Caenorhabditis elegans: one gene and its partner. The protein of the gene in region 2 interacts with the protein of the main gene of each other region in a pairwise test. Each region holds a gene or a part of one and is shown on either strand. Other genes may lie near its edges. The genes, in order: ubc-13 and nhl-1.

The links.
Region 1: the proteins of nhl-1 (region 2) and ubc-13 interact in a two-hybrid assay, tested with the Caenorhabditis elegans proteins (one study listed by BioGRID).

What each region holds. Positions count from the first base shown.
Region 1 is NC_003282.8:2,917,829-2,932,090, forward strand, and holds ubc-13 (Ubiquitin-conjugating enzyme E2 13), read right to left. Parts: upstream 7,864-14,262; 5' UTR 7,863-7,863; coding exon 7,583-7,862; intron 6,544-7,582; coding exon 6,376-6,543; intron 5,203-6,375; coding exon 5,195-5,202; 3' UTR 4,763-5,194; downstream 1-4,762. Other genes in the region: Y54G2A.50 (uncharacterized protein), read left to right, coding at 905-987, 1,037-1,160, 1,239-1,353, 1,414-1,550; fbxc-45 (F-box C protein), read right to left, coding at 2,035-2,241, 3,333-3,944, 4,153-4,288, 4,334-4,401; manf-1 (Mesencephalic astrocyte-derived neurotrophic factor homolog), read right to left, coding at 9,883-10,049, 10,117-10,261, 10,334-10,458, 10,521-10,590; samt-1 (Molybdate-anion transporter), read left to right, coding at 13,652-13,793.
Region 2 is NC_003281.10:9,147,713-9,164,426, forward strand, and holds the start of nhl-1 (RING finger protein nhl-1), read right to left. Parts: upstream 6,191-16,714; 5' UTR 6,093-6,190; coding exon 6,051-6,092; intron 5,618-6,050; coding exon 5,508-5,617; intron 3,954-5,507; coding exon 3,812-3,953; intron 3,767-3,811; coding exon 3,423-3,766; intron 3,377-3,422; coding exon 3,217-3,376; intron 3,139-3,216; coding exon 3,055-3,138; intron 3,004-3,054; coding exon 2,879-3,003; intron 2,826-2,878; coding exon 2,691-2,825; intron 2,060-2,690; coding exon 730-2,059; intron 439-729; coding exon 313-438; intron 267-312; coding exon 132-266; intron 86-131; coding exon 1-85. Other genes in the region: Protein irld-34, read left to right, coding at 7,404-7,464, 7,856-7,959, 8,006-8,147, 8,215-8,285, 8,333-8,471, 8,514-8,643, 8,687-8,787, 8,913-9,122 and 2 more; ptr-9 (Patched-related protein 9), read right to left, coding at 9,531-9,803, 9,852-10,052, 10,217-10,604, 10,654-10,999, 11,044-11,190, 11,598-11,777, 11,824-12,146, 12,375-12,463 and 5 more; dgk-3 (putative diacylglycerol kinase 3), read left to right, coding at 15,365-15,413, 15,531-15,613.

The DNA of each region.
Region 1 (14,262 bases), on a different chromosome or scaffold from region 2:
GAAAATTGAAAGGATACACCCTCACTAGCTTTTCTGCATTTTTAATCCTCTTTTTCAGCAATTTCAGGTAATTCGCCGGTTTTTTCATTTTATAAATTGCTGAAAAATTTTTCCTTTCAATCCTTTCAATTTTCCATAAAAAATAAACAGAAAACACATTAAAAACATATTATCTTTATTCAAAAAATTATTTTTTACAAGAAAACAAAAAAAAAAGAGGAAGAAAAATGGATAAAAACAACAGAAATTAGAAGAAAATCGGTCTGCGCTAAAGAAAAAAAATCAAGAGAAATGCTCCGTAAACCGACACCTCGTAAATCGTTTCGTCTCTTCCCCGCGCCCCTCCCCTTTGGGTCCCGAATGTCTGCCACTCTCTAACTATCTACACTCTCTGTACCGGTAATATTGCTTTTTGCTCCCATTTTCTTGTCAAATACTGTTATTTTCTTGAAAATTGTTCACTTTCCAGGTGTTTTTTGTGTTCAAAAATGAAATAAATAATTTTGTTTCGAGAAAAACACTGTGAACTATCCGTTTTTATCGATTTTATCGCTATTTCGAAGTTAATTTCACGTTTTCTTCAAAAATTCTCAATTTTTCCCTCAATTTCAGGGGACTTTCAATGCAATTACGAAGCATACATCATGAGCCGAAAATGCAGTACTTTGACGCGTTCAAACCAAGCTCTGCATCGAGAAGTGGTTGTATTTTCAGCCATATTTTGAAAATCTTCAGTACCAATCCATGTATAGGTAGGGAATTTGGCCTAGAAGTCGAATTTTAAAGAAAAAAATGTTTTCGAAGCATTAATGAAAGTTTCTTTTTCTTCCAATTTCTGGATTTTCTAACACTACAAAAATTCACAATTTCAGGTTAAACATCTCGATTGAGCCGATAAATCAAAATGGGCGATGGATATCCAAGACCAACGACAACAAGAAGCTCGGCGGGACCCAGAAACATGCAGTACAAGGATGAGAACACATGGTTTTCAAAAAAAAATCAGAAATATGATAAAATGTGTTTAAATTTTTAGGCTAGCAGATGCTGCAGCTGACGGAGACGGCTGGAAGGATCCATCAATCTCAGAGACGGGTCATAAACCGATCTCAGAATGCGGCAAGACTACGATCGGCTTGTGGTGTATGAGTCCAGCATTGGTTAGTACAATATGAGTCCTATAATTCTACAAAACGAATACAAAAATTAAATTTTAATTGTGAAAATCGAATTTTCAGTCCTTCTTCGACGCATTCAACAAAACACGATCGATAGTCCTCGCAACCCTGCTCCCAATGGCAAGAACCGACTTGAATGACAAGAAGCGAGCTTGGTGTTCGAATAAAACGAAAAGTAAGTAGAACTCAACAAAAAAACAAATAAAAATTAGTGAATAACAAATTGTCGTTTCAGATTCCATCAAGCAATGCTTCATCGTCTTCATCTTCGGATTCGAAAGGAGATTCGGCGATGGTCGTCACTGTCACTACTTGAATGACAAGAAGCGAACCGATTTGAGGACTTTTCCGAGTGGTTTATCGAGACTTTGAGACTGGAAGGAGCTTTTATTGGCCACTATTTAAATTATGAGGCTGTTAACTACTAATTTCCAGTCAAATAGAGTTAATGTTTTTAATAATTCCAGGCTGCACCCGTGACCATCTTCGAGACTGTTCCAGGCAACTTTGAGTCATGCACTAATACATCGGAGCTAGGATCCATTTTAAAGCAGTCGATTTCAACGGGAGCTCTCTTATCTACTTGGCCCAAAACAGAAACTAATTTTCCATTTTGGTATTTCATTAATTAATAGATACCTTGAGATGATCTCAATCAATAAAACCTTGAAATCTTTACATATTCTAGTTGTTCCCTGCCCAAATTATCAATTGATTTCTCATTGTAGATGTTTTTTTTTAAACTTTTCTGTAATAAAAATTATAATTTAAGAAAATGTCGCGTGATCCGAACATTTCTAGAGAACAACTGATACGAGTAAAAGGTATATTATTCATTTAATAAAATAAGCAAAAATCATGGTACAACTGAGAATTTGCACAGATGGTGGACGTGGAGAGTCGAGAGTTGTCGGAAGGTCGATCGGTTTTGTAGCCAAACCAGCACAGAGATCGGCTGGAACCGAAGTACATCCATTGAGCTTTCCCGATCTAATGCGCTGCCAGCAGGTCGGCCCCGATCTTCCGTCCATTTCGGATTCCGGCACACAATGTAGTTTTGACTCTGAAAAAGGAAAAGAGATTATTGATGAGGTAGAATATTACGGGAACACAAAATTCTGAGAATACGTATTGCACAACATATTTGACGCGCAAAATATCTCGTAGCGAGAACTACAGTAATTGAGAAAAAAAAATGAGAAAATTCATTTCAAAAATCTAGAACCCGTAAATCGACACAAGCGCTACAGTAGTCATTAAAAGAATTACCGTAGTTTTCGCTACGAGATATTTTGCGCGTCAAATATATTGTAAAGTACGCATTCTCAGAATTTTGTGATTCCATAATATATAAATTAGCCGAGATAAAATTTAAAGTATTTTTAGATGAATTCTGTGTTTGCTAGAATCAGAAAAGCTATTTGTGAAATTGACCCGAGTTCCTTTCCTAGTCTAGATTCACTCAAATACACCAAAAACCGCGGAGGAGATTATGAGAAACGTCCGGGAGGTCTTGGATATTCTGAAGGAAAAAATGGGATCTGATTCGAAGCACACATTCCTCAACAACACTGTTACTGCAACTGCTCAATTTTGTGGAATTCATAGAGACACTGTGAAACGTCGCACCCCGGAACGAAGCCAGCAACCAAGGAAACGTATTTGTGAAATGAGCAAGAAGGAACGGTATCGAAAGGAAGTTTCAAAACTTTCTTTGGTGAAACGGCTTCAGCTCACAAAGTACATCCATGGGCTCTGGTGTGATGGGAAAGACGTGGTTATTGAATCCTTGCAGAGTTGGGCAGAATCGAATATTCAGTGGAACAGAGGATCTACAAGTTTGAGATTTGTGATGCGTGGTTTGGGATTTGTGTACAGAAAGAAGAATCACAACACCATCGTTGACGAAAGGCTAGATATTGTGAAGAACAGAAATATTTATCTGAAAATTAAAGAAGAATTAGATGTGAAGAAGTACTATATTGGATCTTGTGACGAGACATGGGTCTACGCGGGAATGGTCAGTGTTTATGGTTGGCAGCATGGTGATGGAGAAATGTACAAGAAGGCAAGATTAGCTGACATGGAAAACCCCCAATCAGGGCCTCAAAAGGGTAAAAACAAGGGAAGAAGAGGAGTGACAGCAGCAGTTACCGTATCCGTATAGTGACCGTATCGTTGATCCAGAATGAAAATTTGTGGGAATTCATCGCACTCATCTCCAAATATTCCACACAATTCATATTGAAACATCGCAAGATCGTTTCCTTCTGCCAGTAAAGTGAATGCTTTGAATAAATTCGCGACCAAATCGGCATCTTCAGTGATGAAGATACGCTCTGTTTCAATTTCACGGTCTGGGTGGAGCAAAGCGTCAATCAAAATGAGGAAATCGAAAACTTCAACACCTTCAATAGTAAATTCGATCAAAGAGTTGGGTAGTGCTCCGATGTCATGGAAGAGCTCACGAGGAACAATATAAAGCATCAATCCATCGCAAGTTCTCAAGATTTCGTGTCGATTAATCACATCCAGCAAATCCAAATTGTGACCTCCAGAGAGATAAATGAGCAATGGCGTGCTCTTTGGATCGATTAATCGATCGGTAAGCGACGACCAATTCCGTACATATTGAACCATGAACTTCTTGAAGGATTCCGGCAGCTCAGGTACACAGTCTTCATCTGGAAGATTCAACCATTTAACATGGATCTGCGGATGTCGTCCATTGAGTTGCGCTCTCGTCAGAGTGTGTGGGGCTTCGAACTGAAAATGTATTCATTGAAATATCCGTTCTCTAGAATAGTTATCGATTTTAGTGAGAAAAAAACCAAAAAGTTATCATTATTAGATTTAAAATGGCGAAAAATTTTCGATTTGAGAAAAAAAAACGAATTTTTCGTTTTTATTTTCAAAAGAATTTAGTAAAATACTTAAAACCGACACCCTCGTCTAGAATGGCAAAAATTCATACATTGTTCCTAGCACCAAGTTTGTATTTCACTCCATTGACAGAGATTGTACTACGATTGAATTCCAGCTTCTTGATAATCAGAGGTTGCGATTTTTCGATCTTTACAAGAGATGGGCATTGTGCGGCCAGTCGGAATCTGAGAATTATGTATTTAGTTAATTACAGAAACTGTTTGTCTCACCTTTTATTCGCCTCCAAGTGTTTGATAATGCACTGCATGGATAGATAGGTGAGTGGCTTCGAGTCCATGTTTGCAGAAATCTGAATTAAAAATTTTTTATCGGTAATTGCTTCAAATTTCGCAAGAAAAACATGAAAAAACACAGTTAAAATTCGAAAAATCGAAAGAAAAATCAAAAAGCTACAGTTGAACACATCGCGATGAAACCCATGCAACAAGATACTGTGTGTCCCTTTAAATTTACAGTAATATCAGCGTGCATTTTTTCGGCATTTCTCACTTTCGGCAATCGGCGATTCAGGCAGTTTCCAGTTTTTAAAATTTCTATCACAATATCTACTATTTATTCTTCTATTTATTCTTGCATTTTTTCCGGTTGAAAACCATCAGGCTACTGCTGGAAATGCCTTCAAAAATTTCTCAAAAATTCTCAAAAAAAATAACGACTTTATTCAAAAAATCATCAAAATTTCCAAAAGAGAAAAAAAAATCAATTTCGATGGAAGAAGATTTTCTGGAAACTGGGAGAAAAAAAGAAGAATTTAAATTAAATGGACGACGACGGTTTGATGAGGATCGTGAGACAACAGAGACAAAAAAATTTTTTAAAAAATTCAATGGGATGGGGAGGAAATTGTAGAATTTCGAGACAAAAAACCGGGCGGGGACAAAAAAAATCAATATTTAGATATATAGTAGAAGATGGGGAAAATCGAGATTTTTATGCAATTCATACAATTTATTGGAAGTTCGTAAGGGGGCGGGAAAAGGCGGGACAAAGAGCAGGCTGAGAGAATTTCGAATTTTTTTTTGTTTGATGTGATTTTTTGTAGTTGTTCTAGAGGCGAGCTTCGGAGACGATCAGGCTTCTGAAAAAAAATTATTAATTTATTTTTTAAATTGTTAAAAAAAATTTATTAAAATGCATATTTATTGTTGGGTCCCACAGCGAAAACTAGGAAAATCTACTGTTTTCAGAGCCGAAATCGAAAATTCGAAGGGTCGATTTACGCAGCCCGTGTACTCCTCGAGGAGAAGTGGGAATGATTTTTATACAGTTTTTTAACATTAAAACTACCAAAAAAATGGCTCATAAATTCAATTTCCAGCTGAAAACTGCTTTTAAGACACTAAATACTTCGATTTTCACTGAAAAACTGGAATTTAGCGCTAAAGTTGTTATAGTTATGTAAAATTTGTGGAAAAGTCGATGCGAAAACGGTCCAAAATCAATCATTTTAGCGCAATTTTGGAGCAAAAATCGAAAAATCGAACTAGAAACCTCCGAAATTGGCACATGTCGATTTACGCAGCTCGTGTACTCCCCGCGGAGAAGAGGGGTGAAGCACATGGATTTTGAGGCGAAAATTGTTGATGTTGGCCTATTTTTTCCTGATTTGAATCTTTAAATCACCAATTTAGGTCTAAATTATAGTGTTTCTGATAAATTTTTATTTTCGATTTTTTAAAGGTTGAAAAACTAAAAAAAATTCGAAAATAAAAATTTATCAAAAAAGCTATAATTCCGAGCAAAAATTGATGATTTAAACGTTCAAATTAGAAAAAATAGGCCAAAATCAATAATTTTCACCTTAAAACCCGTTTTTTTCACCCCCACTTCTCCTCGGGGAGTACACGAGTTGACGTAAATCGACATGCGCCAATTTCAGGGATTTTTAGTTCGATTTTTCGATTTTGGCTCCATAATTGCGCTAAAAGTATTGTTTTTCGCCGTTTTCGTCGACTTTTCCTGAAATTTTACTTAAATATAGCAAATTTAGCCGTAAATTACAGTGTTTTCCGTGAAAATCGATATTTTTAGTGGCGTAAAAGCAGTTTTCGGCTGGAAATCGGATTTACGAGCCATTTTTTGATAGTTTTAATGTTAAAAAGGTCAAAAACTGTATAAAAATCATTCCAACTTCTCCTCGGGGAGTACACGATCGGCGTAAATCGACATGAGGTCGAATTTTCGATTTTGGCTTCAAAAGAATTGCAAATTTTCATCGATTTCGTGGCGAGACCCTAGATATATTACTGACGAGCATAGTTCATCGTCCATTGTTTTGCAGTCTTAATCGCCTCGGCCTCATTCGTTTTCCATTGCTCGGCGACATCAGTTGCCAGTGGATCTTCCGGATTTGGAGCCGAAAGAAGAGCCTGAATCGACAGAAGAACCGTGCGAATTTGAAGAGCCGGCGACCATTTATCTGAAAAATTGGGCATTTTTTTTCGAGAAATTCATGTGAAAAAGCTCAAAATGAGCAGTTTTTCGAGATAATTCGCATTAAAATAGCCGAAAAATTGAACTTTTCTATGGATAATTTGATTAAAATGCGCAAAAAATGAGATATATCTATCGAAATGCTTTCTTTTGGAGTAATTTTTCGATAAAAATTGGAAAAAATGCGCAAAAATAAAGAAGTTTTCGAAGAAATTACACGAAATTTGTAATTAAAAATCGAATTTTACTATCTCTCCATTGAAATTACTAAAAAATCAGATTTTTCAGCAATTTTAACAAGAAATTCGCTTTAGAATGATTAAAAATAGCTAATTTCGATCATAAATTGAAAATGTCCCTCGAAAACTGGGGGTTCGCCGAAATTTTCGCAATTTTGAATAAAAATTGCCAAAAAAACGCCGTTTTCCGAGATTTTCGATGAAATTTGGTTAAAAATGCGCAAAAATGATACATTTTCGCAGTTTCTTTGAAAAAAATTTCACAAAAAGAGGGTTTTTTAAAATTAAATTTCGAGAAATTCGCATTCGAATGCACCTAAATATATTTATTAGAACAAAAAAAAACACGATTTTTCTCGAAATTTCGTCTATTTTGTCAAAAAACGCTCAAAATAAGCTGTTTTTGATCCATTTTTCCCATTAAAATGCGTAAAAATTCATATTTTTTGGATTATTTTCTCATTATGCGAAAAATGAGCATGAAATTCGGATTTATACGCTCAAAAAGAGCTAAATTTGATTTAAATATTAAAAAATACAAAAAATTCATCTAAACTCGTGAATATTGTTGAAAATGGGCTGTTTTTCGAAAAATTTCAAGTAAAAATATCCAAAAAAGCTAGATTTCTGAATTTTATCAATAAATTTGTGTTAAAACAGTGTAAAAATAGCAAATTTCGATGAAAATTCAGAAAATTCTCTAAAAATAATTGATTAAAACGCTAAAAACCGTTTTTTAAAAAATTTTTTCACTAATTTTTCAAAAAAAGGGGAAAATCTATTCACCCTTGAGAATATCGAGACAAATTCTGCCGAGTTTATCAATATTCGGATGATAGATCTTTGTCATGAATCGAACTTTCGGTGCAGCCATCGGATACTCTTCCGGAAGGAAAAGCTCCAACTTGAAGACACCACCAGCAAATGGAGAATCGTCTGGCCCGGCTATCATGACATGGAAGTATCTGGCGTTGCTCTCGTCTGGATTTGCCGATATTCCGGGAACCGGATCCGCGAGAAGTCGTTGTGTCTCTTTGATGATTCGACGCGGAAGTTGCCCGGCCATTCTGCAAGAAATTTTATTGTGTGTTTTGGGGCTTTTAAGCTGATTTTTCTATTAGAAAAACGGATTTTTGAGTGCAAAATGGTGAAAACTGAATAAAAAAATATATATAAATGTATAAATTTTGGCTGAAATAAAAGAAAAAAGACTAATAATTCAAGGTTTTTTAATTAAAAATCAAAGTTTTTTCTCGAAATATCGGAAAAGGGCCATTTTCCGCAAAAAAAAAGTTAAAATATCTAATTTCCTAGGGGAAACTATGAATTTTTACTTTAAAAAACTGTTTTCCTCGAATTTTCAACGTAAACATCGGCCAAAAATCGATAAAATTGTGTTTTTGGCATTTCCAACCAAAAAAATGCTCGTTTTTAGCGATTTGGAATAATTTTTTTGGAAAAAAAAATCGATTTTGGTGCAAAATAATAGCAAAATTGGATTTTTGTGCAGTTTCCATGGAAAAGTGGAATAAATTTGATGGTTTTTGAGTGATTTTAGAGCTTTTCCCAGCGAAAAACTGTTTTTCTGTTAAAAATTCAACAATTAGACGGATTTTTGAGTGCAAAATGGTGAAAACTGAAGAAAAAAATGTATAAATGTATAAATTTTGGCTGAAATAAAAGAAAAAAGACTAATAATTCAAGGTTTTTTAATTAAAAATCGAAGTTTTTCTCGAAATATCGGAAAAATGCCATTTTTTTTAGTACAAAAAGTTAAAATATCTAATTTTCTGCGGGAAACTATGAATTTTTCAATTAAAAAACTGTTTTCCTCGAGTTTTCAACGTAAACGTCGGCCAAAAATCGATAAAATTGGGTTTTTTGTGATTTCCAACATTAAAAAACGCTCGCTTTTCACGATTTCGAATAATTTTTTTGGAGAAAAAAATCGATTTCGGTGCAAAATAATGGCAAAATTGGATTTTTGTGCAGTTTCCATGGAAAACAGTGATGAAATCGCATATTTTTGCAGAAAACTGACATTTTGGAGTAATTTTAATCAAAAATAAACGCAAAAATGTGTATTTTTGACGTTTTTGGCATTACGAATTCGTTATTTTTGCGGAAAATCGATATTTTCAGCACCAAAATGTTGAAAAAGACGCGTTTTCTACGGGAGCTTTCAGTTTTTCATCTGAAAATATGTAAATTCACCGGTAGTTTGAGTGAAAAAATCAATTCAACAGTGAAATTTCGAAAAAATAGGATTTATGTGCATTTCAGAGTGAAAATTGGCATTTTTGACGTATTTTCCATCAAAAATAATGCCAAAAACTGAATTTTCGACGTTTTGAGCATTTTGAAAACGCTAAATTCGAGAAAATCGATATTTTCAGCAAAAAAACGCTGTAAATTCTCGTTATCCACGCGAAATCTTAATTTTTATACTAAAAATGTATAAATTTAACGGTAATTTAAGTAAAAAATCAATTCCTTTGCGAAATTTTTAGAAAAATTGGATTTCTGTGCATTTCCCAACGAAAACTGTTATGAAATCGCATATTTTTGCGGAAAAATCACATTTTTCGGTAATTTTAGTAGAAAATATCGCCGAAAATTGATTTTTCGGCGTTGAAAAAGCTGAAAATGGGTATTATTTTCCATTTTTACGTATTTTCCATCAATAATAACGTTTCGAAATCGATAAAATTGGTTTTTGGAGGTTTTTAAGGTGAAAATCGATATTTTCAGCCTAAAAATGCCAGTTTTCGACCGTAAATCTTCGAAAATCACATTTTTAAACTGATTTATTTCCTGGAAAACCTAGAAAAAAGGTAAAATAAATTATTAAAAACCGGATTAGAACCGAAAAATTGGCAAACTGAGGGAAAATCAGGGAAAAAAGCTTCATTTGACCAGACCAGTGGGAGGAAGATGATGATGAAACACGAAAAAATTAAGGGGGGGGGGGGAAATCAATAAATAAATTATTATTAATAAAAAATAGATTTCAACAAGTAAAATTGCAATAAAAACACACACGCTAAAAACACGATTATCACATGTAGAACGGCATGAAAAAAAAATCACAGCTCTTCTTTGACATATTTCGGCTTAAGCTCCTCGATGCGCTTGATGAGCTCGGCCTTCTCGGTGCATCCCTTGCACACCTCTCCCCACTCGCCGAGAATGTTTTTCAGCTCTTTCACGCGCATTTTCTTCAAATCGATCGTCTTCCAGTCGAGTGGCTTGTCTGTGAAATTTGGGGATTTATTTATTTTTTTTTTTTGATTAAAAGCGAGATTATGCGCCAAACGAACCGTATTTAAGCTCACAAATCTGAGCATCCTTGCCCTTGAGCTTCTCCAAACAGACTTTTTCCGTTGGCATCGACCAACTGAGCGGCTTGGTGACCTCGTTCATGATGGAAGTGGCCGATTCTGGGAGTGCGCCGATGTAGAAGCACTGAAAATGGATAAAAATTAAAAATTTTAAAGGAAAATTAGATTAAATCATTTAAATCTTTAAATCCCCTACAAATTTGTTCTCCTTGTTGCGAGTGGTCTCACAATGCTCTCTGATCACTTTTCCGATGGCATCTGGCTTGGATTTGTCGCCGGCCGGCACTTTTGCCATCACATCGTCCAGAACCTTTTTGCAGACTGAAAATTTCGCGATTTTTTATTAGATAATTAAGTAATTAAGCTTTCTCAAATTTACAAACCTTCACATTGTGGAGCAGCAGCCGAGGCGACGACAATCACCAGGGAGATGAGAAGGACGAGTCGGCTCATCTGCTGGAAAAAACAGGGATTATTACGGGGTTTTCAGGGCTCTGAGAGTGTAAATAGCGGGAAAACTGAAAAAAAAAACCAACAAATTATGCAGAAAAATAGAATAAAAAGACAAAAGAAAGCGGAAAAAACGGAGAGAAAATAGAGAAAAAGCGAACGCAATTCGAGAAAATAAGCTGACGTGTTTGCGCGCACCGCGGGCGCGTCAGCACTCTCCTTGGCGCGTTTCTCGATGTGGACGTCAGCGTTAACGTTGACTTTTGGAATTAATTTTGTAATTTATTCGGGCTGATTCGCAGTGAAAAACGATATTTTCCATTGAGAAAACCTCAAAAATAGTTAGAAAATCGTATTTTCCAACTAAAATTAGCATTAAAGATCGCGGGAAACATGAAAATTTGCATAAAACTTCACTTTTTACAGGTTCGCAAAATTTAAAATAAAAATGTTTGAAAATCAGATTTTTTAAAAAATCTTTTCTTGGTCCAGAACGAAATTCAGGTCTCGCGTGGAAGGGATTTTAAAGTCGATTTGGCGGTTCCCGTGGAGATCGGGTCATGGTGCATCGATCAAAATACTTTCTTCTTGTATTATAGGTTTTGTACCATTTTCAGGGGGTTTTCCAGAATTTCCAGAACCAAAAAATCCAAGAATTACAAGAAAATTCGATTTGAAAACACTAAAAAGAAGAAAAAGCGATTTCGAATTCAAAACTACTACTGTAGAGGGGTACTGTAGTCTGAAAATTTGCACAGTTCGCGTTGGGAACACAATATATTCTATTAATAGGCACATCTTGATAAAAACCTGGAATTTTTACGGTTAAAACTAAGTTTTTCAACAGAACATATTCGTGAACTTTCTTGATAAACTCGGTTCTATTTACGTGAAATTTTTAGTTTTTAACAAATTCCACATTTTTATTATATTTAATGCCACGTCATCGCAAAACTAATATCGGAACATTGAGGTTAGTTTAACAGTTTTTTTTCAGTCGAAGAAAAGTTGTGAGTTTTTTTTCTAAAAACATTGTATTCTTTTTTGCTGATATGAGGGTTCTCGAAAAGTTGGTGGCCGAGTTTTCTTCTGCGCGGCCGCGAATAAATAATTTTTTTCAAAGAAAAAAATTAGATTGGCAGGATTTAATGAAATTAGTTTTGAAAATTTTCAGGTTACTTTTTGACCATTATAAAATTTTTTGGTGGCCGAGTTTTCTACACCGTTTGAAAAATTAGTCCGTCGTCCCAACGCAAATAAACTGTGTCGTAAAGTTTGCCTTCTGAGAAAAATCTTTAGGGGTAAATATTTCAAGTTTCTGTGTAAATTTTTGACGCGGGAATTAAAATTTTTTCCCTTTTTTTCAAAGTTAGTTTAAAGATTTGCCCGTGTGGTAGAATTGGACTCATCTCACTAGATTCTCACTATAGGTTCAACCAAAATTTTACAGCTCTGCCCGCATATAAATTGTTCGGAAATTCAGATTTGCATTGTACACTGCAACATTTTCCTCACGAGGGAAGAGGAAAAGTGGTTTCTAGGCCATGGCCAAGGGGCCGATAAGTTTCAGCGGCCATTTATCTTGCTTTGTTTTCCGCCTGTTTTCTTTCGTTTTTCATCGATTTTTTTCGTTTTTTCTTAATAAAACTGATAAATAAATATTTTTTGCAGATGCTAAAACAATTTCCAAGTAAAAAAATCATGTATTCAGTGGGCAAGCAGCGGTGAAAGTGGGCATTGTAATATAATGGATTACGGGAATACAAAACCTAAATTTTTTCTTAAACATGATACATATGCTGCTTAAATGCTGAGACTACCTGATTTTCATAACGAGACCGCTGAAAAAGTTTTGAGGTTTCCAAAATTCAACTATTTTGGTGAAAAAGTCGAGATTTTCGCACAAAAAGTTGAATTTTGAAAACCTCAAAACTTTTTCAGCGGTCTCGTTATGAAAATCAGGTAATTTCAGCATCTAAGCAGCATATGTATCATGTTTAAGAAAAAGTTTAGGTTTTGTATTCCCGTAATCCATCATGTTGCATTGACCACTTTCACCGCTGCTTGCCGACTGAATACATAATTTTTTTACTTGGAAATTGTTTTAGCATCTGCAAAAAATATTTATTTATCAGTTTTAATAAGAAAAAACGGGAAAAAGCTGTGAAAAGCAAAAGAAAACAGGCTCAAAACAAAGCAAGATAAATGGCCGCTGAAACTTGTCGGCCCCTCGGCCATGGCCTAGAAACCACTTTTCCTCGTCCCTCGTGAGGAAAAAGTTGCAGTGTAGCGCAACACAATTCCCTTGGAAAAATTCAAAAGAAATTCCTGGTTTCATGAAGTCTCTAACTTCTTTTGTGCACCAGAATTTCATTTTAGTCTAGTGGTTTTGTTTTTGAAAAATAAATAGGTTTTTTGTGATAAATGCACATTTTATCATATTACTTCTGGAATTTGCGGAATTGCACATGGTGTCAGGCTGTCCCATTGGATCTCGAGTTCTGTTGGAAGAATTTGAGATTTTATTAGTTGAAAATATGTATTTTTTGAGTCGCCATTACTTTTTTTGACAAGTTTTGAGAACGTCTCAGTACGAAATTTGGTAGTTTCTGGACTATTTTAGGGCTAAAAAAGCAAAAAAGCAAAGTCTCATAACATATTTCACACCTTTTTTGGTTTTACAGCCCTTCTTTTCTCCGCATATAAATCGCTCCGAAATTTAATTTGCAAATAAAAATTGTGTTTCTCGTGAGACAGACATGGCATTTTCCAGTGAAAAGTGCACAAACAAATGGTTCAAAATACCAAAAAGAGTATAATAATTCCCTTTCCTCCTATCTATATTTGCGTCTGTCTCTTCCACCCCATAGAAACAGTGCCCCCCCTACCACCGCCCGCTGTGTTGCTGCTTCGTGGCTTTTCGTCTCTGCTTCTTTCAATTCTCTCACTCTTTTCTTCTCTCCCATGCCACGCCCCCACCCGTTCCTATCTCTGATTCGGAATCTTTTGAAGGCGACGACGTGGTTCTTCGAAGCCGCCAGCAGCACTACTCATCAAGGAATCCATGTTCGTCGGCGTGTTTTACGGTCTTGCAGCCGTATGTGGCCTGCTCTATTTTTACACACGATCCGCCACCGAGTCAAACGATGATCCAAAGTTTAAGAGCTTCCAGAGAACCTATCTTATTGTGTATATGATGGCTGTTGGTAGGTTATTATTTTTTTAGTTTGGGGTTGCGGGGGATTTGGATTAGCGGGAAAACAGGTGATTGTTCGATTTTTTTGTTAGAATTTTTTCAATTTTTAGACCTTTTTTAGACCTTTTTTAAACCAACAAAAAAGGTTAAAGTCGTTAAAAACCACTCTTATAATGCTACAACGTCTAGAAATATCATTATAAAATTTTTCATAAAAATGTTGAAATTGTTTTATTTACAGTCAAAATGTGGTCAGTTTTAACTTATCATAATTAAGGGAGTCGACCAAAAAAAATTTTCCTTTGACGATTTTATATATTGAATGCATTGAAAGCATTTGTATTCAAACATTCTAGGAGTTCTAGGAACTTGAAATTTCTCAAAAATTACATTTATTGGGAAATTTAGCAATTTACCAAAACTTTGACTGAAATATATTTAAAAAAAGCTAACTAAATTTTTTAAAAAGTTTAAAAAAA
Region 2 (16,714 bases):
AAGTTCCGAAAGAGGAGACAAATTGACCTTGGGCGTCGAAAACTTGGATCCTGTTGTTACCGGAGTCGGCGATTATTAGGTTTTCCTGAAAATGAATGGTTTAGAATTTTTCTTTAGCATTCCAGCCTTACCTGTGAATCAATAGCAATTCCACGTGGGAATTTGAATTGTCCACCATGAAAACCTTCCTCGCCGAATGAAAACAAATGAACACCGTGGGGATCGAATACGCTGATTCGATGATTCGAAGAATCTGATACATACACCTGAAACGATTCAGAATGATTCATGAATCTATCTGGAATCACTCACGTGATGAGTAACTCTGCTAACTGCTATGAACAATGGACTGTTTAGTTGACCAGGTAGATGTCCGAAAGATCCGAATTTTGCAATGAATTGACCATTTTTGTCGAAGACTTGGACGCGGTGATTATCCTATAATTTAAGCTTCACTTGTATTTTAGCATGTGGGGCAATGTTTTTTAAAATTTAATCTAGATCTGCAAAGCGGACCACAATAATGTCCGGCGTCCGAATTTCCAAAAAAAAAAAAATTAAAAAATGATACTCAAAATACCGGACGTCCGGTTTGCCTGCAATATATGAATCTACAAAAACAAAGTTCTTCTCTTGATGATAATTAATAAACAAAGTTAATTTTTATCAAAATGTATACAATTATGAACTTTCGCATTACTGAGAAACGTCTCATGATAGTTGACCTACCTTATCAGCCACATAGATACTTCCCAAATCATCGACAGCAACTCCCCATGGATTATTGAACTTAGCATTTCCCTGTCCATGTCCACCGAATGAGAACAAATGATCTCCTTCCAATCCAAAAACGGAAATTCGATGATTGTACCTGTCGGATACAATAACTCGGAGCTTTGAGCTTGCTAGCCCGGCAGCTGAATCAAGTTGTCCGGCACCGGCACCGTAGCCTCCGAACTGACGAACAAATTTTCCATCTTTATCGAAAACACAGACACGATGATTAGACGAATCACAAGTTGCGACAAGACCTCCGGACAATGCACAAATTCCACGTGGCCAGTTTAACTCGCCATCCTTCGCACCTTTTCGTCCGAATACTGCACGTGGTCTACCACGAGCCCTCCATTCACCAGCTTCACGAGAAGCGCTGCGGCCACGCTGTCGCAAAACGGCAAGCTTCTCTTTCTCTTCGTCGGTTGTCGTAGAAGAGTCTAAACGAGATTGACGTTCGGCGAGAAGCTGCTGCACTCGAGCACTTGTGAACTGTGCCTGTATGTCGGGATTTGTGCGCGAGCGTTGGAAGCGTTGCCTCCGACGCTGTAACCACGCTGGCACGACGATGTCACTTTCGTCTTCCTCACCTGTGAAATGTGTGACTGGAATCGCGACTTGTTCAGATGTCCCATTGGTGATCGGAGCGGATGCCGGAAGTTGATGTTGAGGTGGCGGAACATTTATGATCGTACCAGTTCCTGGGATCATACTCATCAGTCCATCATCACGGTTTACAGATGCCGCGCGACAAACTATTCGTATTCTACCGCGGTTGGTGGATACGGGAAAATCCTCTCCCTCTGATTCTTCACTTGAAACTGCTCTTGATGCAGCTCTAGATGCATCTTGACGTTGTTGATGAGCTCTACGGATGGTTTCCACTTTCTCATTCAAAGAATCATCGTTACTGGACTGTTGACGTGGCAGAGGTGGCTTTCGGATCGGAAGTTGTGGAAGTGGAGCAGGTGATGCATCTTCAGTCCTCTCAACCCGTTCAACAGATTGTGGTGGAAGAGGAGGTTTACTAGCTGGAGATACAGTTCTTGGTGTTTCAGTATTCGGAACAATCAGACTTGTTGGCCGTGACTTGGTTGGTTCAACTGATCGGGTGACACGATCAGCAGCCCACGGCGATGTTCGTGATGAAGAGTCCGCAGTGACTGATGTAGTAAGAAGAGAAGGAGCAGCAGATGAATTACGGAGACGATTCCAAGCTTCGTCTTCCAGCTGCTGACGACGACGGTAACGAATCGAGGACTCATCAGGCTCAGGATTTCGATGACTGAAATTAAAAGAGGATAGTTTAGAGAGGGAAACTGTATGGAGAAGTAATTGTGAGATTATACATTTAATAAATTATCCAAGCTAAATTGAACTATAACTTCAATAGATTTATGTCAAAATGCCGGTGCCAAATTTAATATTCATAAAGGGCGATCAATATGTGTTTGGCCAAAAAATAACCAAAATTGGATAGTAATAAACCAACATAAAAACGCGGAAACGCTTTTACTTTTTTGTCTAGCCGTTTTTCTTCAAAAATTCGAATAAAATTTTGAAAATAATTAACTTTTAAATAGTTTTTTAAATTGTCCGTTGCCCCTTTCTTAAATATTATTATTTTTATTGGCATGGCAAATTTAGCATCTTGACACAATTCTGGCGACCTCTAAGATATTTTAATGAATAAAACATAAATTGTACTATATTTGAGTGTAAATTGCAACAATAAGCCGTTACATAGAAAACTGAAAACATGAAGTCGAGAGCCAGAGACCGGACGTAGATTCATTTTGACACCTTAACAATGTTGATTTTCTATAATTAGTGTTCTACACTATACAACTAAACTACTTGACTAAAAATCACACGTTTGTTAATAAAAAACCAAAACCAATTCCCATGGAACATACCTGTGCCTTGAAGATGTCCTATCAGCTTCTCGATCTCTCATACTTGCTCTTTCGTCAGATTTAACCCGATAACTGTCACTTTCCAATGGTAAACGGAATGGTCTTGGAAGGTATGATTGTTCAAGAGGGAGGTATCTACAAAGTATTGACTAAAGATTTTCGTTTTTTTTGAAGTTTTTGAAATATACCTTCCCGAAAATTGAGGAACTAGAACACAAAGTTCACCAGAAGTAGTGATCGCTGCTGGAAGCTTAGCAGCATCATCTCCAGCTGAGAATCGGAGTTTTCGATTAAAAAGTTCGTCGGCGTCGGGCTAAAGCATTAATACAATAAGAAATGTTCAACAATTAAATTAAAAAGTTACCTGAAAGTTCCTAAGATATTCAAGCCCTTCCGTAAACGTGTTTTTCATTCGAACAAGTTCAGAATCTTCAATTGAACATTCTCCCTGAAAATTTTAAGATTTTTTTGTTATGATATCTTTTTGAAATTCTCGATAGCTTCAAAATATTCAATGAAATCCCACCTTGATTGCAGCATCCAGTCTAGAAACTGCTTCACTCATATTAGAACTTTCAATTTCCAGAACATCACGAAGATTGCTCATATTACGAGTCTCAGTAGCTTGAAATGTATCAACTTCCATGAGAAAGTTGTCTTCCTTCTTTTTCAGATCTCTCTGGTATCTGAATTTAATTTTTTTTTCGGGTTTTTATATCTTTTCAGACAAACCTGTGGAAATATTCTTTAATTTCTGCTTTTGTTGTCTCACAGTTCATTGTCATCATATCAACTCCTTTTGATAAATTATCCGATGCTTCCGTAATTCGATTGGCAAGCCGTTTAACCTGATTCAAAAGTCGCGACATGTCTCTTTTAAGCATATCCATATGAGTCTGTCGACATTCTTTACATGCTTTTCTATCACAATGTGCACATGGTTCACAGTCTGCTTTCTCATCACAAATCTTGCACCGTTCCAAATTGTACCTGTGAATGTACTCTTCAATTTCTGCAGCCGATTCTGGTGTGGCCTGCAGATGAATCTCGAGAAACCCGGTTAATGTGTAGTTTGGCTGAAAATGAAATATTTTGCTTCAAAGTGATACTTATTTTCACACCTGAAACGCCTTTACTCCGTCATATGGAATATTGTGTTCTGCTCGACATTCTGGACATTTCAAATTGCGATGTAACGTGTCTGCACAACTTTCCAAGCATGGATAGCAAAATGTGTGTTGACAAGGTAGAAGCTTGGGTTGTCTGAAAATAGTTTAAATCTATAACTTGATATTTAAAAGTTTAGCCATTCTGTTCAGCATTTATCTCTATAAAAATCAAAGCTCAAAGTATTACATTTCAACTACCAAGTTCTTCAGATGTCCAATGTCAATATCTCACGATTTCACAACTTTAAAAAATCATAAAAAGTCTCGTTTCTCTTTCTAAATATCTTTCAAAGAGATCACGTCCAGCAGGCTTCTTCGTTTCCTCATCGGTGTAATACACACACTTTGCAGCCCCATAGCCAATGGCAAAATAGTTGAGAACTGGCGGAGAATCCGATTGAAAAGTCTTCTCTTGGCTCCCTTCTCGATTGTAAAAAAGAGAAAAGAGAAAGTAGAGGAAAAGCCGTTCGACATGGAGATAGATACAACGGTGAAGCTGTTTCGAAATACTCTAACAATGAGTTGAGAACAACTGTGTGATTGATTTTGAAGTGTTTCATTGTTAAAAAGTGGATTGCCACCAGTTGAAATATTGTCATATGATTTCTAAGATTTCGAAAAAAATTCCAATCATCTATTGAATTGAAAAAAAAAATATTTGAAACGTTTCTTTTATCGCAGGAGGTATTTTTGTGAATTTTCAATGAGCACCGGGTTATAGCCCAAAAGCTAGAGCTTTTAATCTAAAAAATTGGCAAACTTATGATTAGGAAACTTCAATAAAAACGTTGAGTTTTGAAGATAATCGCCATTGAGAAAAAATGTTTAAAAACACTCCTAGTGGGCTAAAATACTACGCCAACTCTTCTTACTCGTCTTTCTCAAAAACAAAAAGATTTATAAAAAGTTAGCAAGATAAAACTTGAGAAATTAAACTTGAGAAGACAGAACAAGAAATGGCGAGTTGAAAAATATCATAGTATTACACCTTCTAAGCTTGAAAAACTTTACCCCTACGTTCACTAAATACAATGTTTGTCATGATTGTCTGAGGTCTCGTGCAAAGTTATTCAAATTTTTTACTTTTTTTTATTTTATTTTTGAGACTATAAGTGTATTATTCAAATATTTTACAAGAAAAGGTTCTCGTTTTTAAAATGGATGTTTACATTTGTTCATCTATAACAGATCAATGAAACATCTCTTTTTTTTAATGTTCCACTTTTTACTCTGACGTAGGTTAGTCTATATTTATTGACACAAACGTTGTTGATTTAACCCAAAAATGATCCTCATTTTTAAAAGATCCCTGCAGGATCTTAGATTGTTGATTTCTCCATAACGTTCTCCTAGCTAATCATCATAACAGTCTGTCTGATTTTATTATTGTTTTGATGCACAGTGCGTAAACAACCGGATGTTTATTATGCATCCCCTAAGTCTATCTCGTTTTTTCAAAAAAATTCCCCTCAGCCAAGCGGTACTTAGCCTAGGTCATATGATAACAGTGGTCAGTCAGAAGTCACACGGCCTATGTCTATCCTTGAACTACACACTAATAGTTTGTTTTGGTTGTCCGTGGTGCTTCTTCTTTCAATTTCGTCTGCTCACTTTCAAAACGAACAGCTGATTGAGATCACAGACTTACTTGTAGCGATCGAGACAAATCGGACACGTCAGCAACTGCTCGATCTTTTCGAGAGGATTCACAAAATCAGCTGGTCGACTCGATGGTGGACGTGACATCAGCTCGCGCATCTGAAAGAATCTATGGGTCATGTGGGTTAGAGATGATTGCACTAATCAACTAATCAATGTTGTACAGGGACTTAACTTTTTCTCAAAATCAGTGGAATAACTTTTCATTTAAAAAATAAAAACGTTACTTTAAAGTTGCAATGTCTATTTGAAATAAAGAAAATTTGTACAGCACCTATAGGGAGCTTAAACGAAATATAAAAATTTTGAAAATTGACAAAAATTTTAAATTTAAGTTTTAAAACTCAAAGGACCGTTATAGGGTTACCAATATTTTTAAGATAAAAAATTTCAATGAATGTCTCTAATAATTATTTTTTGTAGATGTTTAAAGTATATTTCATTTCCAGTTGTCCACAAAATTAATTTTTAAATGTTTGGAAAACGACGAATTTAAGATTTTCTTTAAAAAAATAAATTTTTTAGAACAAACCTTTTCGCGAGCTTCTGCTTCATTTTGTGGAGAACTGCTCATAAGGATTGAATTTTAGAAATATTGGAATTTCGAATTAAAAAAAAACAGGATAGAACGAGAAGACGAATCGAATATAATAATAAAGTGGGGTGTACTTGGAGAGTTGGGGATGAGTGTGCCGAGTGCTCCCGGGAGCCAAAAAAGATTTGAGACGCAGAGAAGTTGGAGAAAGATCTGGGGAGCAACAGACGAAAGACGCCCCCAGCCATCTCCTGCAAACACAGCGGCGGCCGATATCAATCGGTGTGCGTGGGGTGCGCGGATCGGATTTTGAAAAGTTCTTGGTTGAGTCTTTTACTGGTTTTTAGGCTTTGTTTGACTATTTACTCATAAGTTTTGAAACCGATGGGAATTTGAAAAAAAGATCAATAAGATATGAGGATATGAACGGCGGGAAGATGCAGCTGGTTTGTTGGTTCTCGAAGATTATGATAACTGTCCTGAACGTTGAAATATTTGAGAAGAAATTGACAAATTGAACTTCAGTATTTATTTTCAGAAGCTTGAAAGTGTAGATTAAAATTAGGATGTTTCTTTAAAACATAAAAATAGTCCGAAATTCAAAAAACCACAAAATAAAATCGAAAAATAAACCGCAGAAAAATGGAAATTCGAACTATTAAAACCGCGATTTTGAATTCCCTCCGAAATAAAAACTTTGACCAATCAGTGATTTGCTCCGCCCACTTTTCAACCAATCAGGACGATTGTGTAGAGTTTGAAGACGTTGAGTGGTTAGAAAATGGGCGTGGCTTATACTTTTGGAAGAAGTTTAAAAATGGAGAACAGTCACAATTGAAACTTGCCTTTTTGGTTTGTTCATTCTTTTTTATTTTTGTGGTATTTTCATAACACTTTGAGTATTTTTCTTTAAAGCACATTTTTTTAAACTTTTCAGGTAATTTGACGATTTGACAATTTCCCGAAATTCCTTTTTTTGTATTTAAAATCATGATTATTTGATTTTTCAAGCGTATGTATGTACTTATTTTGTCTTTTTTGTTGGTAAACTTTTGAAACTAATGATCATATAATTTGAATAAAATCTGAAAGTTCAGCATCCTGCTCTCTATAATTACGTAATCTTCAAAACTCCCACTAACCACCTTTCGACTATTTTTCATTAAAAAAAAACCAGCGAGTGCAGTAGCTAGAAGGCGTGCGAAATTCGCTGGTTACTATGACAATCGCTTTCCGGAGGGTGGGCGGAAATAATAAAAAATAAAGCAGTTTTTGAGTTGGTTAATCTAATCACAAGTTTTGTTTGTCTATCGTCTGGTTGCAACGAAAAAGAGTAACGCGCTGGAATTTATGCAATGGCCACTTATTGCCGCTCTTTTTACTCAGTTATATCACTTTGTAATTGGAGATGGTAAGTGAAAATGAAATAGTAAACATATTACTATTTTAGTTAGTTTTGGTTTAGAGACGAAATTTCGCAAAATGTTGGATAACAATTAAATTTATAAGAAATTACTACTCTCTTCTAACTGTCCAGCTTATCTCGGTTTTTTTTGGTTTTATCAAAAATTTGTTAATTGACAAAATACGCGCTAAATATTGATCTATATTCTGAAACAGTTTTTGAAACAGTTCACTTAAGAAATCCGAAATATGAGCCGTCAAAATAGAGAAATGATGGTGCAAGTCTAATAGGGAAAAAACTGCGTTTTAAATTTTATTTTCCAATTGCCAAATGCAAAAATCTTAAATATCATTCTAATCGGTAATACTTTTGATAACTTTGAATATATCATTTACAGATTGTTATTGCCCATTATGTGAGTTGGACAAATTACCCGACAACTGCACAACAATTCATGGACATATTCAAATGGGTCTCGAGTCAACAATGCCACCGTTTGAGGTTTTATTTATTCAAAACACTATAGGATTCCAATAATTTGTTTAAGATCGTTGAATACAAGCTGGAAAATGTCACAAAAATAGTTGGATGCATAACGATAGCCAACTCTGGTTTCACAAGTCTGTCACTTTTATCAAATTTGGAAATAGTTCAGTACTCACAAACTGGAAATTCTTCTACATGTTCCTGTATGTTCTTTTTGGAAATTTTGAAGACTTTGTAATTTCAATATTAATACTAAATGGTATTTTTCAGCGTACGGAAATATAATAACAATTGCGAAAAATAGTTTATTGCGTAGGTTGTACTTGACAAGTTTGAAGAAGGTAAGCAAATAATAAAACAAAAAATATTGAAATTTGATATTTAACAGGTAATTCTTAGTAAGAAAGCAGAGTATGGAATTTATTTGCTCGATAATCCATCGTTATGCATTACTGAAGGTGAATTGGAACAGTTTATGCAAACCGAGAAGTTTCATGCACCACATATTCAAATTTGCGATCCAACAAGTTAGTTCTCTAAAAAAATTTTAAAACTAATTTTGATTTTAGAAAATTATTGTCGACTTGATAATTTTGAGTTTTTCAATGATAAGAATATTCCTGTTGGATGCCAAGTTTTGACAGATTCATTAGTTTTAAATGGTACCAAAGAAATCAATGGTTTAGAATTTCAGAGCAGGTAATCGCGGACTGATGTGATCATTAAAAATTTAAACTTTAAGATTAAACGATATTGAGCAGATTCTGGGATCAATTACAGTGTTTGAAAGTGAAATTGCCAGTTTGAAGTTTCCAAATTTATGGAGAGTCTACAATTTTCAACGTGAGTTTTTGGTAGGCAGGCGGACGTCCGTCTTATTTTCAAATTCAAGTGGTTTGCCAAAATTTCGGCTAGAAATTTCAGTCAAATTGACAACATTATTTAATCTAAATTTTCAAATATTCCAGCTGATCTACCTGTAATCTTCCTCCAAGAAAATGGAAATCTCTCCGAAGTAGAATTCTCAAATCTCACTTCAATTCCATATTTCGGAAATTATCCAGATGTTCTTTATGCTTTCTCCAACCCTCTGCTTACAAATTTATCGTTGGACACCTGCGAAAATCTAAACTCTCTAGGTCCAATCACATTTGAGGAAGTATCAAATTCTATTTGTGGTGAGAGAATAAACTTCATTAATGTTAGTTACACCTGCTCTTTTTTCTAGAAAACCGAACAAGCTCAGTTGTGCCAAATCAGGACAAAAATCGAACTGGAAATTCTGGGGGTTTAATCGTTGACGTGGAAGTTTCAGGGACCAATTCGACTGCGCTGAGCTCCGTTGGAAAAGTTGGTTTTTTCTAGAAAAAATTTAAAAATTTAAAACTTTTTCAGGATGGGCCACCAGAAAACAACACAAAAGATAATTCGGTATATCGGGTTTTTGATTTTAATTTAAATTTGAGTTTTCTCTTTTATTTGTTGATTTTTCAAAAATTATTTATATAACTGGTTGTTTTAGTTCAATAAAACATATTTTTACATTTAAATTTTATTTACATCCTTGAAGTAAAAACACATTGAAATTATAAACCGTAAAGATCCTCGTAATGATTTGGATTTTCCTCATCCTCATGCTGTGGTTCATAAGGAACCATATACTCTGAGTCCGGGACAATTGTATCAAGAAGAACAGGCAAAAATATGAGACCATGTAGAATTCCGAGCCCAACTACAAAGAATACGGTATTTACAAATGTTCGAACAATATATGAGTGAACAAATGATAGAAGTGATACTCCAATAGCTGTTGATAAAGCTGATTGTAGAATTGGTTCTGTCATTACCAGGAGGCATTTCTGAAACTTTGAATTATCTTGTTTTCAGTCTTCTCTCATGGACAATACCTCAAGACGATTGTCCCTTTGAATAACAAAATGAAAAGTGGTATGCGTGACATAATCAACTGAAAATCCCACACTCATCACAATTGTTATCATTGAGATAATATCAAGTCGTGTATTTGTAGCTGCCAGGGCTCCGATTACTCCAATATTCACTGATAATATGGCAAAAGCAATACACATTGCAGATACCGGGCGAGGAACCTGAATTTGAGAAATTGAGAAGTAGTCTATCAAAAGCCAAAATATCATTATAAAACAATGAAGATGCTCATAAACTTAAAAATCTCTAATTTTCATAATTATTTTTTGAAAAGTCTAACTTTGAAATCCTATGGTTTGGAGCCATGTTTATAAAAATGTCTTACCATCAATACACAAATAGATAACATTGTTAAAATTGCTGAAACCACATCAACAATTACATTATAAACCGTAGTCATTTGCTGATCAACCAATAAAAAACTGGTATCATATACAAATCCATTGAATTGACTATTTTCCATCACTTTTCTCATATATTCTGCTCGTGGAGCATCATTATCCTTCCCTAATTTCCTTACTCGAAACATCATTTTCATTGCTTCAATCTTCCCCATCATTGTGAATCTAATATCATTTCGAAATTTTAAATGAGGCTCTTTCGCGAGAAATGTGTGAAGTTCGTCGGAAAAATCGGATTCTGAATATTTTTTCCCACGATTTTTCTTCTCAAATGGATCCAGCCAGAACTCGGATGGAGAACTATATTCACTTCTGAAAATAATTGAAATTTTATTTTGAAAATGTATGTTTTGAAACTTACCCTCCAAGATCTCGATAGAGTCCTATCAAATTTCTTCGTACCATTGGGTCTTTCAATGAGATATTTTCAGCTCGAACAAGTGCAAAACAAAATCCACCGTAGTCCGCAAAAAGTCTTTCCTGAGCTTCAAGTTCTTTAGAAACATATGAATCGTCCGGAGCCAATAATTTTAAATCTAATCCAAGTGGAAGACCAATTGCAAAATGAATTGAAATAAATAAATAAGCGAGGAAAATGAAAAATACTCCAATCCTAGATGGCAATGGGTTGAGAATTTTGAATAAATGTTTGGCAACAATGGAAGAAAAATCGAAATTTGACTGTTTTTCGAGAACCTGTGTTTCTTCTGAAATTTGTATTTCTTTAGTGCAACTAGAACAATTCACAAACCTGGCGGGGTAATTTCATAACAGCAAAAGACTGGATGTTTTCCAGAAACTTCCCTTCTACAGCATAATGACATAACTGCATTGAAAAATGTAACTTGAAAGAGGAACATGAATAGAATCGCCATAGCACAATACGTACAGAATACTCCTGAAAGTGTTTATTTTATCAAAAATGGGTACAAAAAATTAAAATGCAGTGAAGGATTTTAAGCTAGAAAAAATTCAAATCTTATTACAAATGTTCTAAAATTTTTGAGTTTTATGCTGAAACTTTTCGCACAACTTGATGAAAACGCTTTTCGTCATTTAAAAAAGAAAACAACTGAGTTTTTCTCCGATTTGCGAAGCTTTCTAAAATCAAGATCAGACATGGAAAAGTTTCTCAAATGCAAGACAGTTTTTCAAATTTTCCGTTGTCTTTTTCAAAGTTTAAAATTATCTTCTACCGCTGTATTCTTTGAAGAAAAATGACTAATTTCAAATAACATAAGTCTCAATTTATAGTTCAAAAATCACACTTTCCCTGTTAGACTAACATTTGAAAAAAAAACTTACTAACGGCATGAAAATCTGAAATACTCCCAATTGCAAATGAGAGGCCATCAGTTAGAGAAGTTAAGAAAAGAGAAGCCGCTGATTCCGTTAGAGCGTGAATATATCGTTGTTCTTCATTTGAAGATTTCTTCGTCATTCTCCAACTTTTGAGCATCAGAAACATATTGTCAGTTCCAATTGCTGATAATAAAAAGAAATAGGTTGAAATAACTGTACAGTAACTTACAAACAACCAAAAATGGCATAATAAATACAAGTGGAAGAAAGGGATACTGTAGATAAAGAAGAAGAGACGTTGAAGCAATTGTTGCCATTGTTGCATTGAACATTGCAAAAAATCCAATGAATGGTTGAGATTTCACAATGTTCAATGAAGAGCAGGCAAACATACAGAAGACTACAAGAACTAGCGATGTCCAAGGCATCCATGGAATCAGAAGTTCCCCATTTCGCTCCATTTCCTTTGCTAGACTCTTTGAAGATGACCAAAATATTGTGGAATTTGTTTCTTTATATCGTGGAATAGCTGACAGAAATAAATCTATCCACCTGAAACACTATTAAACTTCACTAACAAATCAAATTTACAGTTTTAAAATAAACATAAACTTGTTTAAAGAGTTTTTCTTGCTAATAAAGTATTTTAACTTTATTCCGCACTCTTTTTTTTATTGTCTTAAAACACTGAAAAACTTAACAGAACAATTTTCAACTCGACTTTTTCTAGTTCAAACTGCTGCTAAATATTTTTATTCTCAACAAATTATAAAGAATCACCTTTCCGTGGATTCACTAGATTCCAAGATATAAGTCATTCGAACAGCCTTTGAAGAACGAATTGGCGAATTTCCATCCCGATCTTGTGACTGAAAATTCAACATATACTGACTACTGAATAGTAAGCAGTTTGTTATTTTATTTTACTTTGGGTTCTATGCGAACATCTCCAAAAACCATTGCATTGTCGATTACAAAATCTCCAAATTTTAGATTTGGATAACGAAGTAGAAACTGGATTGCAAACTCCTGAAAGTTAGAAAAATTTTTAACAACAAAATTTCGAACAAAACCGGTGTTGTATCTTCCAGCGCAAAAGCGATTGGATGCATTGTACAAGCTTCATCATCTTTATTTCTCAAACAGTTCGATGCAACATTGTCTCCTAGTGATGTCTGAAAATGTTTTAAATAATTCATAAAACATCAAATTGCAGCCAACCTCTAACCCCATTACAAACTTATGAAGCTTTGACATTCTTTGTATTCCAGAACTTGACAATATATTACCATCAGAACTGTCATCTTCTATCACAGTATACACAAACTTCGACCCAAATATACTGTAGGTATCCCGTTGAGCATCTCTCGGTGGGAACAGACGTAAAAGTTCCTTGAGATCCCTCAAGCTTCTCATATCATCTGGTAGGAAGACTTGGAGTGTGTCGTTTGTCACGTTCAAATGGAAATTCGTCACAGTCAGTGTAACTGGAAATAATAATTTTTGTTTTTTTGAGTATTTTGTATTTTGTAAATGAATTATTAGTAGTCATGGTAGTTGTGGATACATACAAATTCCATGACAATAGTGTTCTAGTATTTTTTTAATATTTTTTACCAAAACTATTTTAGATCATGATAGGTCTAGGTTTGCATCAATATTAGTAAAATAAATTTACCATTTTATCCTCAATTGTTTGATTGAAACATGAAAATAGTACATACCAGGGGTGTGGGGCAAATTTGCCGAATTTGCCGAATTTGCCGTTTGCCGAGCTCGGCAAATTTGCCGAATTTGCCGAGCACGGCAAATTTCAAAAAAGTAGATTTGCCGAATTTGCCGAGCTCGGCAAATTTCGAAATTTGCCGCACACGTCAAAAATTTGACAGTACAATTTTGACTAAAACTATTGATTTTTTAGCCAGAAATTTAGTAAAATGTCACAAAATTGAGCTATTTTGATGCTTAAACAGACATACTACGCGGAACTTATTCAGAAACCAGATGTGTGTTAAGAATTCAGTAGTTTTGGTGCTCCAAAAAACATTAAAAATATCAAATTTTTCCGAGTTTGTTAAGCACGGCAAATTTGCCGAATTTGCCGAGCTCGGCAAATTTTGAGATTTGCCGCACACCCCTGGTACATACCGATTGAGAATGTAAGTAATGGAGGAATAATGATGAATGGAAGAGGCCATCTGACAACAACTGTGCTTTCATACTGAAATTAATCTAATTTTCATGCACTTCATCAAACTCTTTTCAAAAACTGTAAAACTGACCTCGAAAAACTGAGAAACAACTGATTGAAAGTTGAGTGACTTCATCACTTTCTAATTTTGACCGAATGGTTTCCATGCTAGTCTCGAAGTACGGTTCCGAGCAATTAGTAGTACCGCGCGCGTGGTAATTGGGGAAAAGTTGAAGAGGATGACTGTTGAACGTATAGCTGACCTAGATTATTACGGGAACGAAAAACATGAGTTTCTTGGCGTATGAAGGAGAGGAGGGGGCGAATTGTGAATGGGTTAAGGCATAGGAAAACACATAGGAAAAAGGTGAAGGTGTTATTGTATGCCCAAAACATATGGGTTCTGAAACTAAAATAGTTAGTATTTCCTAAAAATACTATTTTCATTAAAAATCTAAAAACTGTTAAAAAATTATCCTAAAACTACCAAAAATCAGAAACGGATACAAAAGAATATCGAGATTTTTTCATAGTTTGTCCTAAAAATTGATGAAAGTACCAATTTTACCCATTCGGTAAGGAATACTCAGATCTTCAAACTCAAAGAACCGGAAAGCGGGAAACCCGGCGAACAGTTGAAAAAATTTATACAATCGTCCAAACTGACTTCTACGTCGGAGAGTGGATTTTCTTGTCCAATTATAAAAGATTCAAAACAGACGACCGAGTAATGTGCAACCAAATTTGAGAAATTGGGTGCACCACTAATAGAGAAAATACGGCAACTGAAACTGTTAAGGATGCAGTTGTTATAGTTCTAGGAAAAATTATTTATTAGCATTAAATCAAACTAAATCGATTTATTATCTTTTTTCGGTTTTATTAAATCAAAATGCACTAACATAAAATATGTCTCCGTCATAATCTTCAATCTCCCCGAGTTTAGTTGCAATTCTTCACGGTCGGTTCACACATTTTGCAATCCGATTTGGCACACAAATCACACTATATCACCGACTTTATCAATTCTCAAATTTCCATCTGATTACACTTTGTTATTTGGGGCTTCTTTTTTTTTTCATTGGGCACTTTCAGCGTAATACGTAATAACTGAAAGGAAATGTGCGTCAATCTGTGAACTTTTTTTATTGCAATCATTATGTGAGACACAAGGTGTGTCGATTGATTCTTCGCGTGATATTCTCTGCTAAAAAGAGAGCTGAAACCGTAGGAAGCAGAGGATTATCGGGTGGTGTGGTCGAGGGGCAGCGCTTCTCTCCTCCCCTTTTTGGCTCACCAGGAGAGCGCTCGTCTTTTCGCGCGGTGAAGCGCGGAGCACATGCACATCGAGTGAGTGAGCCAATCTTGTCAAACGTATTAAAAGTGTATTTATAAATGTGTTAATATACATAATATCAGGATTTAGATTAGCTGCTCAGTCCTCTCTCTCTTCTCATGCTTTTCCTCTTTTTCTTTTCTTTTTATTCCTTTTTTACATTTCCTTTTTACACTGTTATTATTATATTTTCTCCTTTCATCTTTTTTTGGATTAAAAATTTCAATTTTATTATTTTCAGAAATGTTGTTATCACCGGAGCAATTCTCGCGGCTTAGCGAATATGCGGCATGTAAGTTAACGAAAAGAATGAAGAATGAACACCTGAACAAAATCTAATTTCCGAAAATTTGCTGTGAAAGAACTTCGAAAAAGATATATAAAACCACAGGGAAAATTGAATTTTCAGATTCTCGGCGAAAGTTGAAAGATATGTTGAGCGATTTTCAGCAAGACGGGAAGTTCTACTCATATCTTTCAGTTGATGGGCAGGTATATTTTAACGTTTTAGGATTTCAAACCTGCAGTAATCTTCAAATTTATTTTTTAAAAAGTTCCGGAAAGTTTGGCAATTTAGCATAACTTTGACTGAATTTTTAAAAATAATCAACACATTTATGGAGTAACTGATAATGCGATCGTGTTCATTTGTGTCATCTTGAACTATTAATACAAACCTAGATATACGAATCACATTAAAAAAAGAGCACCAAGATAATTTCCATGTTTTCATAGAAACTTGATAGCGCTATATAAAAAATTAAAATTAAATGATTTGATATACAAAACAAAACATGATTTTTCTGTTAGCTGATAAGATTATAACATAATTCAAAAATCAAACACAACACGAGTTTTGAGAACATTCATTTGTGTTTGTTTTGTGTTTTGATCTTACAAATTTGCTGGGTTAATAAGATAAAAGTTTTCCTGAAAGTCACTTAATTTTCAACATGATTGAATTTTCCAAAACCTGAAAAATTCCATTGCGTGGGTGATTACTAGGCTCATAAAGAAAACGAATATTTACGAGTTTTTGAAATATTCTTTTAGAGCAGTACGATTATGGGAAAATTTAGAATAATAATGTTGGAAGTTTCAATAATAATTCTTTTCCAGCATTCGAGATTCCCGTTTTGTAGGCAGTGCATCAAACATTTTAAAGTAAAAAAAATATAGTTTATTTCCATCATATTCCACTTCCTATTTCAACAATGGAAAACTAACACCACGTATCAAAAATGAAATAAACGGAAATCGATGCGTTTCTCCTTCCATTTTCCTTTCAATTTATGTTTGTTAATGGTGCCTGTTTGTGGTAGAAAAAGCTCAGGGATAAAGCTGAAAAATGATGAGGTGACATGCGATAGATGTAATCCATGAGAAGAGCTTTTTGTCACTTTTTCTGCTCGCTCAACTCATTAGTAATCGCTCGTGTTTATCAAGTGACCACGACGTTCCGGTTCGGCAGACATCTCGAAAAATGGAAGTTTTTGCACGAATTTAAATAAAAGGGTACCACCCACGATTTGTTAAATACAAAATTTTGTTAAAACCATTGATGTTACTTTTTGAAAAAAATCAAAAAAATGC